2 linked regions of the Oryzias latipes genome follow. The protein of the gene in region 1 interacts with the protein of each later gene in a pairwise test. Links are inferred from orthologs where the notes say so. Each region holds a gene or a part of one and is shown on either strand. Other genes may lie near its edges.

What was found. The genes of interacting proteins can lie anywhere in the genome.
Region 2: the proteins of klhl42 (region 1) and stxbp4 interact in a two-hybrid assay, tested with the Homo sapiens proteins (2 studies listed by BioGRID and IntAct). The two-hybrid records come from large-scale screens. The link is inferred for Oryzias latipes from reciprocal best matches to the Homo sapiens genes KLHL42 and STXBP4.

What each region holds. Positions count from the first base shown.
Region 1 is NC_019881.2:20,310,852-20,316,856, forward strand, and holds klhl42 (kelch-like protein 42), read right to left. Parts: upstream 3,671-6,005; 5' UTR 3,193-3,670; coding exon 2,163-3,192; intron 1,437-2,162; coding exon 982-1,436; 3' UTR 341-981; downstream 1-340. Other genes in the region: UPF0577 protein KIAA1324-like, read left to right, coding at 4,933-5,046. UniProt on the Homo sapiens protein: Substrate-specific adapter of a BCR (BTB-CUL3-RBX1) E3 ubiquitin-protein ligase complex required for mitotic progression and cytokinesis. The BCR(KLHL42) E3 ubiquitin ligase complex mediates the ubiquitination and subsequent degradation of KATNA1.
Region 2 is NC_019877.2:24,480,043-24,485,981, forward strand, and holds the start of stxbp4 (syntaxin-binding protein 4), read left to right. Parts: upstream 1-1,849; 5' UTR 1,850-1,952; coding exon 1,953-2,008; intron 2,009-5,939. UniProt on the Homo sapiens protein: Plays a role in the translocation of transport vesicles from the cytoplasm to the plasma membrane. Inhibits the translocation of SLC2A4 from intracellular vesicles to the plasma membrane by STX4A binding and preventing the interaction between STX4A and VAMP2.

The sequences.
Region 1 (6,005 bases):
CGCATCATTCAGCTTATTGATCATCGTTTTTATTTTGTTTAATGTTTCAAAGCTTTCCGAAAGAATTTGACAAACATAAAACAAAACACTGAAAATATGAACATTTTTTGTAAAAGGAAGTTTTCATTACTTGATTTAAGTCAACAAGGCTTCAACAAAGTTAACAAAAAAAATTTCCGTTTCAATGACACTAACTCACATTTTATATAATTAATAAATGGTGCTGTTTATTTATGCAAGGACAGGTTTACTCGGATCACAGAATCATAGATTATCAGATTACATTTTTTCCTTTTTTCATTTAAGACTTTAGAATCAGTTAATGAAACCACTCAGGAACTTGACATACAAAGAAATCTTTATTTTGTCATAGTTTCCAAAGACTTAACTCTTTTTCCTGGAAACAAAAACCCAAAACAAGTACATCATTTAAAAAAAAGTTTAAAAAAAAGAAAAGAAAAGAAAAACAGAACAGATTTAGTCAATTGTAATAATTCTTTTTTTGAGTTGTTTAGAGTGAGGCAGCAGAAGGCACGTGCATCTTTCAGTTCATGGAAGAGTGCCGTCTAGTGTTTCTGAAACCGTGCAGCGAGCACACAGTGCCCCGTTTGGCGGCATCAAACCAAGGCCACGGCTGTCCGCTGTGTGCACGACCACAAATGCAGCCACTCAAAGGTTTGAGGTGAAATCTGGACCGACGCACTCGTCTGTGTCTGTAGTGTAAACATCAGGAAAATGCTGAGAGAGACCACATTTAAAACTCTGCATGAAGAAATATGAAGCTTGTTCCTGCAAAGATGGAACTGCATGATGGGAAACGGTTTTCAGAGGGTGCATTTATATTCTTATAACTGTGTTAACAGATCAGAGGCACTTCTTTTTTTTTTTGGCTCCGATAGTTTTGAGGCACATAGGTTGACTTGGTCTCCTCCAATCCTGTGTTAGAGCTCAGGTCTCCGCCCCCCCCCCCCCCTCCAACAGTCATAGCACATTGGGGAGGTAAAGCGAGCACAGCAGCGTGTTCTGCCCGAGAGCAGGAAAGCGCCTGAAGGCCTCCCAGGCGTCTGAGAAAATGTTGTACTTGAGGAAGACGCGGTGCTCCAAACTGGTGAGCGGGCTCACATCCCGGCTCATCATGTAGATGCCGTCGTTGTGCAGCGCGCAGGTCAGGTTCAGACCCGACTTGGACGTGTTCTCCTTGAGCTGGAGCCACTCCCCGGTGGTCACGTTGTAGGAATGCACCGTCAGGACGTCCTCGGTCTGGCTCGGGCGGCGCCGGCACCAACCCGTCTGCAGCTCGTGGGTGTAACCGCCCACAAGGTAGATGGTGTCCTCCACCGACAGCATCTGCTGCTTGCGAATGTGGACCGAACAGGACCGGAACACGGCCCAGGAGTCGGAGGTGGGGCAGTAACGGAGAACGCTGGTGTTTCTGTCTGTCAGATCCAAACGGAGAGCATAACTAAAAAAAAACATCCACAGGTTTCATTTCTGACACTTTCGTCTGAAGCTTCGACATTTCAAACGGTTTATTAAAAAATTTGAGACACTTTTTATTCTCTGACTTTTAATCATCCTCATTTTTAAACCTAAAGATGCTCTTTTAAACTAAAATTGGCAGGAGTTTTAATTTAAAAAGAACTTCATCCCTTATTTGTAAAACTCATCAAATCTAATAGTTGTGCCTCTGTGATGACTGTTGTAGCCACAAAAGTATTTAACTTTCCTGTTTGGTACGCCAGGGGGTGGGGGGGTCACTTAATCCAATTCTCATTTACATTCCATTAACAGGAAGCAAACCACATTTTGGGGATAATTCTGATTTCTTTTTTAAATTATTTTCAAATGTGTTTTTGTGTTTAAAAAAAAACAGCAACTGATAGTTTTTTTGTTCTTAAGAAATTAAATCCTTCAGAAACTACTGATAAGATTTGTGTTCAGCATTATAAAATAATCTTTATAATACTAAAAAGTCTGCTTTGGATGCAGATTAGGATACTTTTTTCTGGACGTCTTCATCCTGTCTCACTCCTGTTATCCAATTTTTTTTGTTTGACACAACTGTTTAGCCATCACCATCTTCCCTTCCGGTTTCATAATCCTGACCTCTATTTCAGCAACACAACAAACGGTTTTCTGTTTTTTTTTCTTTTCGAACCCACCCCTTGCCGTGTATCCTCCGATGACGTAGATGAAACCCTGGCACTCGCAGGCAGAAAACTCAGTCAGAGGGTCTGGCATGGAGGACACACACGTCCACCAGTCCTGCTCTGGACAGTAACACTCCACCGTGCCCAGACACTGGCCTCCAACAGCAAAGAGTTTCCCTTGAACGGCCAGCAGCTTGAAGTTGGACCTGGAGGAGAGGACAGAGGGTGAAACGCCTCGGATTTGACCTTTGTGAATCCATGGGGGGGAAAAGTCGTACCTTTTCTGGTTGAGCGGAGCCACGTGGTTCCATTCATTCCTGCAGGGGTTGTAGCAGTGAACAGCAGAGATCTCCTGACTGGTCATCCTGTATCCTCCACCGATGAACAGGTAGTTATCCAGGACGGTGGAGCCGTACCCTCTCACGTTGACCATATCTGGCGGGAGTTGGTTGGACAGGGGCTTCCAGCGTTGCTCCACCTCTCCGTACCGCAGCATGGACCAGGGCTGGTCCTGGTCGGGCACGTCCAGGGACAGGCAGGTGAAGTCTCCGATGGCCACCAGGGTGGCGCTGCCCTTCATGCGCATCTCCCTGACCTGGTCCCTGACCGCAGAGGGCAGGCGGCTGAACTCCGGCCGCCTCAGAATGGGGTGGTAATAGCAGCTCATGTACTTGAGGCAGGAGCTGCGCAGATCATGGGTCCCGTAGATCCCAGAGAGGTTGTACAGCTCCACGCAGTTGTCCAGCCGGATCTCTGAGGTCAGGAGCTTCAGGATTGAGGTGACCTGTAGGAAGGAGGCAGTCTCGATCAGATCCTCCAGAGTCTCGTTCACCACCTGGACTTTGGAGGTGTTGATGAACTCCAGGACCAGCTCCAGGCCGGGGATGCTGAGCCCCTGCAGCTCCACAGAGTCCTCCGTGGACTCCTTCATCCCGGAACTGTACAGAGCTCGGAAGTAGTCGCTTTTCTCGATCAGCTTCTTCTTGTCCACCTCGTAGATCTTGTCATCCACGACGATGGCGATGACCTGCTCGGATGACATGATGATGAGCTTTTTTTGTTTTGTTTTTTTTAATCTTTTAAATGTTGTCGTTCTTTGAGTCTGCTCCCCGATCGGTTTACATTTCACCGCGGACAGAGCTCTTCGGCCGGTCTATATATGGTCACGTTCAGCCCAGAGATCTCCATGAAGCAGCTGGATTCAGCGAAGCTAACCGGCTAGCACAAAAGTTCACCCAAACAGCTATTTCCACCGGTTAACACGCCTCCACGCAGCGGCAAAAAAATGTCCCCACTTCCCGAAAAATGTACGCTGCATATTTAAAATAACTTTTATTTATTCGGTCATTTTTCTAACCGGTGTGCGAATCAAAACAGACTGTTTTGACAGTTTCTTCGTTGTGGGTACATCAAGCTGATTTCCGCACGCTGCTGTCACCTAGCGGAAAATATACGAACTGCACCCCCACACACACAAACACACTCCATTGAAAATGGTGTTTAAACTTATTGACAAATTTCAAACTGTAATAATAATAATAATAATAATAAACGCGAACAAACTCTGAGCAGCAGAAAACATAAAACGATGATTTATACTATAATATGTACTACAAGTGTGCTACGTACTTCACATGTTTACCTAGTGTAAAGTATACTTATATTCATTAATGCTTGATAAAAGATGAAGTGTACTACTTTTTGCTAAGGGATAGGAAGCAAGAGACATTTCATTTTTGGTTTTATGTTATATAAGTAATGGTGCTTAGAAATTCCAAATGCATTTCTGGCAATAAGAAATATTTCTAAAGCTAATTCAATAAAAAGACTATTTAACTGATAAAGATCTTACTTTATTAGTTTCAAAACACTAACTAGAGGATTTTTCAAAATAAGATATTTATTGTTTTTAACATGTAAAATACCTGTAAAAACAGGGGGAAAGTTGCTAATTTTGTCATTAGAGTTCAGGTTTATACTTTCAAGTTGTCTCATTTCTACATTATCCACCAGATGACAACATTTTGACAACTTTCTTTAGGAAAAACCCAGAAGTGGATTTTCTTCCACAATAATATTCTGTCAGATGGAATTTACCCCTACAAACTGAGCAAATTTAATATATGTAGTGCCAATGTAGGATCCAAACCTTGAAAACTGTAAGGTGTAGTTAATTTTATACCACACAACATCTATGCTTTTTTAACGTAGTTCTAGTTTTAGTGAAGACTGAGCTTTGAACTGAAGGGATGCAGAATATTTAAAGTCAGGTTCCCAAAATTCTGAGTATGTCAACATATGGTATAAAAAAGTAACATTGATCAACTACAACATTTTATTACTGTTTTTTGCACTGATCCGTCTAAAATATATATTCAAAGTTTGTTTTTTCAATGTGATTTGGTAAAAATTAAAACAACGTTTTCAAGAGCTGATTTAATCTTACACTATACATTTAAAATGTCATGAAAATCAAACTTGGTGAATGGTTATATTTCCTTTGAGGAGAAATATATTAATTTTTGACTGTTTTAAAGTCTTCAGAAAACATTAATCAAATGGTTTACTTTTTTTAGGCAATTTGTTTTATTTTGAAGGTCGTAGCCGGATGTGCTTCTCCTCAGTCAGCGCTGCATGGAGGGAGGAGGGGGAGTTGGGCAGGTGAGGGCGGGAGGCGCGTGCGCATCCATGACGGGGACAGCAGCGTCTTCGCCTCTCGGACTGCTTTGTGTTTGTGGCTCCCGGTGGCGGACACAACGCCCGATTGTGACCGCAGGTGAGGATGCAGGAGCCGGCGTGGACCTCCTGCTTCTCCCGCTGCCTCCTTCTCCTCCTCATCGCCGCTCCCGCATCCTTCTTCACGCCGACCGGAGGAGAACTGCGGCCATGCCAGAAGGTAACTGTGTTTTTATTCGCCTAACGCTAATGTCGACAGTTTTATTTTTATTATTATTAGCCAAAAATCCCCAAACTATGTTCTAACGCATTTATGACCTCAACGCTAATTTAAATTGGTTAAAATATATAAAAATGATGTACAAAATAAAATCTCGGGATAAATTAATTTAAACTAAACGTAAATAAACTCAAAGTTAAACAATCAAACGGTTTCCGGTTCCGAAGCCGGTCTGCATTCTGGTGCTGATAGCCTTAAATTTGGATTCATGTTGACCGTAAATGCGCCGCCGTCTCGTCTGCTGGCCTCCAACCGGCTGGGAGGGATTACCTGACGGGATGGATGCACATCAGTCCGGGGGGATCCTGTCAGTCCCAGCCGGGGTGTCAAAGCGGATCCAGGCGTCACCAGGAGGAGGGAACGTGTAAATAACAAAGAAATAAACAAATAAAAAATTAGACTATTAGGGGGTTGAAGGGGATGTTTTTAAAGATGTAGAACCATTTAGATTGACGTGATTTTGGAGTTAAAATATGAAAAATATCTAATCAATCAGAAAACAATGACGTCACAAATTTAGAATAGAGAACCACCTTCCAGCCCCACAAACTGGTTAAAATGTGCCTTTAAACCGAGTTATTTAGCATTATAATGTACAAGATTTTAAAAAAAAAAATCACACTATCTGTCTTGTTAAAACCTGGAACAAGAAGTTGTCGAATCTCTATAAACCGACTCTGGTGAAAATGGTGTTTTTAACATGTTCTCTTGTCATTTTTCCTTTTTAGTTTCTAATGTTGTTCCCTTGTATAACATTTCATGTTTCTGGAAATTACTTTTGTTTTCTGATTTTTTTGTTTAGATTTCCAGTGTTGTCATGTGATGTTTAATGTGTTGATTTATTGGTGTGATTTAAAGAAACGTCTGCGCAGAATTTGATCATCTTTTGCTCATATTTA
Region 2 (5,939 bases), on another chromosome or scaffold:
CCTACATTTGGTTGCTGTTCAGACACAGGTACTATACAGGTACTATACTGTCATGGTGCCCCGGGGTATCTACTCCTTCTCCCCCCCCATGCAGAATTTACTCTGTGTGTCCCACCATTGGACTCAGCTGCTCCCCTCTTCAGCATTCCTGCTCTGAGCTCTATTTAAGATGTTCCTGTTCCTGTGTTCATCGCCAGTTCATCTGCCCTCTACGGAGGTACCACCTTCGTGAAATCGATGACGTTTAAAAAATAAAAAAGGAGTGAGCATGGTGTCCGTATTGGTTTTACTATTCAGGATACTATATAGTTTTTTAGTTGTTAGGGTGGGAATTGGGACAGCTATTGTCTGTGCATCGCCACAAAACGAGGACTACTCCATTCACCGTCTTGGACTGCATCCAGCACTCACTTCCTCCTCCACTGGGACTCACGCTCTTCCATCATCCCATCATCGTGGCTTCCTCCTCCAGCCACAGAACACCTCTCCAGAATACCAGTTTCTCTTGATCTCTTCCGTGATCTTTCCGGGTCTGGGTCTGTAACCGTTCTCCGCTAACATGACACTCTCAAGATCCACAATCGTGCCATTCTATTAGGGCTACTCTGAGGTCAGGTGACAAAGGTTGGGTCTGCTCCATTGACTGTATATAGCTGGACAATCGCATGGGACATCACCCATAGAAAATGCCTTGCTTCCGGTTCCAACCGAACAAAGTCAATTCAGTCGCCATTTTGACTCCTTTCCCATTTTGGAACCACACATCCTCAGTGAGGATGGAGGATTGGCCTGTCTATTTCAATGGCAACCACTCTCTCCAATCAGGAGTGATTAAGTTAGAAGGCCACACCCCTACCACTGAAAGCGGGCTCCGAACAATCTGTCAATCCAATGCTTCAAATGTTTGATGCCAGGCTTTTATTGAGGCATCTGAATGGTCAGTTGATAACTTGTGCTCCAGCAAAAATATCATGAAAAAAAAAACAGAATTAGCAATAACATGTTAATAATAGGCAGTAGAACAAGAACGGTTATTCTGACTAACATAATGGCAGAGTAATAGCTGTTCATTCATTAATAGAAGTCTACAGGATTTTGGCTTTTGGAACCAGCGGGTTCCACAGAGTATCTTAGTACTATTTGGAACGGGAAGGGGAGAGGTAGTTCAGTCCAGTCCTTATTTTACGGACAATGGTCTGCTCCAGTTGCCATCCTATTTACATTTCCCAGAAGTCTCTGCAAAATACCAGTGGACATCATCTATGCTCAGAAGATTTGCCCAATATAGACCACAAGGAATTACGCTTGAACGATTTTTTTCATGTTCAAAATGTATTTTAATTTTTTAAACCATGCACCCAAGTTTTCATCCTCAGAACACAGGATTCATAAATAGTCTTCCTAAATAATTCATTAGGTTTCTACTTTGGGAAATCTGTGACGTCATAATTGTCGTTTAAAAAAAGTTGCACACATTGTGTTCAAATTGCTCTTAAAATCCATGTCGCTAGATAGTTCTGCACAATGTATAGATTTTTAGTAGTCAGGGAGTCTGGAGGGAATTGGGATTTCGCTAAAAAGATCAGCAGACGCCAAACCTGCTTTACATATAGATAAATGAAAGCAAAAGTTTTTTAGCTGTAAATTGTTTATTAGCGTCGTACTCTCTGAATTTTTTATGTTTCTGAATGTTAAACTGTTTTTTTTTCCTTTCTGATAATTGCTGACCTTAGTCCGTGAGCAGCGGCGCGTTCCTTTCCTGAAGTTTTCACCTGCTCTCGGGAGCGTTCAACTTGGATTAGCGGGAAAAGATAAGAGCGCGCGCGCGCCTGCAGGAGGATTTGCTAGCTGCCCCGGCGCCGCGCGCGCTCTCAGCCAGAGAGCCGCTCGGAGCCGCCGAGCTCATCTGTGTGTTTTTGTGAGGCGGGGTCAGTCACACCCCCGCGGCGGCGATGCCGTTCCTCCCCCAGGACGCGGAACGCTTCGATGGACTGTCGCTGTTGTACTGGTGAGTGCCCCCCGCCCCCTTTAAGACAGTCGCGGGTCACCAGAACGTGTTTGCGTGTTAGTAATACGGACATGATTGTTTGTTGCTGCTTGCACGCGCGCGTCTTCAGTTCGTGTTGTCATTGTGGGGTTGTGCTCCTTTTCCAGCGTGGTTCAATGGTCGCCTTCAAATATTTTTGGGAACACGCTTGGAAAAATAAGGAACAAAGTTGACGGTTCTTCTTTTCCTTTCTCCTTCAGATGACAGCAGTGTTTATTTTTGAAGTCACACATTTAAGGAGTATTTTTCCTTTCACGTGGCCAAGTCACGGCTCGTGCAGGTGTTTCAGTCTGATCCTAACAGAAACAAGTCAAAGTGACTTAAGGTTCAGTGTTCTTCTTTCAATAAAACAATAAAAACATCTTCCTGATCTCTTTATATAATTTCACTCACTTAGCTTTTTGGTGCACGGCGTGCATGGATGCATGAAGGCACGCACGCGCAGCATAATCTGACTGTGAGCTCATGATGACATGTCAGTTCAGGTAATGAGTTAATAATAGAGCCGCTTTGTTTGCTGCAGGTCGTGTGCTGATCCTCACTCCTCCTCTTCCACCACAGTGCAGCATCACCAAAGTTAAAGGAAAACTATTCTTCCTGCATCTGAAGAATGTGCACAATGTCTTTTACGCATCACCATACTGGCTCTAAACATTTTAAACTGCAATTTGGCTTAAAAATCTGCTTTATCCACGTGTCCAGGTTGTTATTGTTTAGTGCAGAGAAAGCATTTTGAAGGCCCTCAAATGCAAAAGGAGAATCTACTCCATCCCATGTAGGAGGCACCAGCATGGATGAAGATCATCTGCTGGACCATTTTAATATGTAGTTGTTGAGTTAGATCAGTTAGTTCTTATCTATGAGTTCTGGTAAATCGCCTGTCCGTCCTGGGGGAGGATCCCTCCTTCATGTGGACCCCCCTGAGGTTTCTTCATTTTTTCCGAAATCCGTTTTTTTTAGGAGTTTTTCCCTATAGAAGGAGGGTCTAAGGGCAGGGATGCCAGTTTAGTTTAGTCTGTTTAGTTAAAGTTTATTATCCTATTGAATTCTATGCATTTATGATCCTTTTTGATAGTATGTTTACCTTACAGTTACTGGTATGAAGCCCATTGAGACGACTGTTGTTGTGAATTTGGGCTATAGAAATAAAATTGAATTGAATTGAATTGAATTGCAGGGATGTGTCCGTGGTGTATTGGCTCTTTGGACCAGGTAAATGGCGTTTGCTTATGCAGGACTCTACTACCTTCCTTAAAAGCCCAAAGCACCCTACAGTCACAGTCCCATTCACCCATGCACACACACATAGGGATGTGACGATAACCGTATCACCGCACGTTTTTTTTTTGTTTGTTTTTGTTAAGTTTTGCATATGGCGCGTCAATGGAGCCATAATAAACACATTAAACACATTCATCTTTCCTGATAATTGACTTTTTCTGCTAGTCCTGTGTTCAGACTTTCCTTCTTTCTTTCAGACTGTTTTCTCCTTCTCTCCCACCGCTCTCTCTCATAGGCGCGCGCTCTCAGTGCCTCCGCGCTGCACGTGCCACGCTGCTCCCTTTACACACAGGAGCGCGCTTTCAGAAGCACACAAACTCATTCTACAACAGAAGTTTTCGTCTCGCGAGGAAATATGACAAATTTACCGCGTTCTAATTGTTAATTTACATTGTATTCATTTCCGTTTCAAGCTGCATGCGTTCTTAAGGGCGCGCGAAACGGCCGCCCGCCGGAGGATTTTGTGTGTAGGGAGGGGGGGGGGGGGTTATTAGGGTTCACCTTCACTCCAAACATGAACGCGCGCTGTTAGATTTCCATGAATATCACTACATGTTTTGTTTGGGAACTATTTTTTGCAGCGTAACGTTACGTGTCTGTATAAACAAAGGCGGAGCCTCCTGGCCCGTGTTCTTCATGGCTACCGGAAAAGTGAAAAAAGTGTCTGCAGTCTGTTTATTACTGGGCAATATTTAATATTCTGAGAAAATGTGTGTGCCAAAGAGCACGGGTGAAGGCTCGCGTGCAGCTAGAGAGCGGTCCGCTGCAGAGGGATCAACACGCACCACCAACAAACATGTGCGCACCTTCCTCCTACGTACATGCAGCGCTGACCCACACAGTCACAGTCAACCCACAACACCTATATGGGCTTTATATATAGTTAGTTCATTAGTTTGGTAGTAGTTAGTTGTTACTGTTATTTTATAATAAAGAATACTACGTTGTAATTGTATTTTTTTTTTTTTTTTTTGTTTTTTTTTTTTGGGGGGGGGGGGGGGGGGGGCTGCGGTTAACCGCGACACCGCGCCCCCTGGTGGTTCATCACCGCGGTGATGAAAAATCCGACACCGTCACAGCTCTACACACACATTCACACAATAATAATAATAATGGATTAGATTAATTGCACTTTTTCTTGGTGCTCTAAGTGCTTACATTGTGTCCATTATTCATTCACTCCTCATTCGTTCTTGGTGATGTAGCTACTGATGTACCACAGCTGTCCTGGGGCAGACTGACAGAGGCGTGGCTGCCAGTTTGCGCCTACGGCCCCTGTGACCATCACCGGGACATTCATACACATTCACACACCAGTGGAGCCACAGTGGAGCCACAGTGGAGTGTCTTGCCCAAAGACACAATAAACAGTTGGCTGGGGGGAGCGGGGATCGAACCACCGACCCTTCGATCAATGGACGCCCCTGCCGCCCCTGATGGTGGCTCTTCTGCCTAACACTGGCACTATACTACCAGGAGCAATGTGGGCCTCAGTGTCTTGCTCAAGGACACTTCAATAGGCGGGCAGGGCAGAAATCGAGCTGGTGATCTTCGGTGATCAGAAGTTCAGAGGCTGACCACTCTACCTCTGCACCACAGCCACCCATGGACTCATCTCCACTTGGGAAAGGTAATCCCAGTGATTCATGACTTGGAGATGATATTACATCTTACCTGAGAGGGTCTTGGACCCAGCAGGCTGTTTTCATGTCCCCTCCAGCATGTGATGGGTTGGTCAGTACTGGAGCCTGGCTGGCCTTGGTTTGAAACTCTTTCTCCCAGTCGGGTGTCTCTGGAGAAGAAGGGGTTGTCCTTGTCTTTGTCCCGTGTCACACCTCTCTGGGGGCTGGCTGGTGATCTGCATGCGGGGCGGCCATTGTGTAGAGGTAGATTGGTCGACCTCTGATCGGAAGATCGCTGGTTTGGTTCCTGCCTTGCCCGCCCATGTGTCAAAGTGTCCTTGGGCAAGACAATGAAGCCCACCATGCTCCTGGTGAGTATAGGTTGGTGTCAGTGTTGGGCATCAGAGCCACTATCCGTAGCTGAATGGGACTGTGACTGGAAGCCCTTTGGGCCTTCTGAGAAGTTAGGAAAGCGCTATACAAGTAAACGCCATTTACCATTTATGTTGGAGTTCCAACAGACTGCTTCTAGAAACGATGGTTGTTGTTCAGGACTCACGAGCAATTTTGAGCCTTTTGTTTGGTCTGTAAGGGAACTTTAGCATGTGTAGCCTTCGACATGGCCATGGCCTTCTGGGTCTGTAGCCTTTGTCCGGGCTGGGACTTGTGCTTTCCATGCCTCTACGCTCTTGCGCGATAGTCTGTGTTGTCCTAAGTGGCTGTATTGGGTTGTCAAGGGGATTAAGGTTCTTTGGGTACTTTTGGGGTGGGGAAGTGGGAGGCCCTTACTGCCTGCTGTGGGCTCTGTGCAGGGGGGTCTGGGGTCCACACCACTCATTGTACATTTAGTAGAGAGGAAGACTCTAGTAGGCACATTTTTATTTGTACACATCTGCACACATGCAGATAGTTGTATGTGTGCAGTTAAGTGTGATGTATACAATGTATATTCTTTTTTGATTACGTTTGTTGGTATGAATATACTGTGG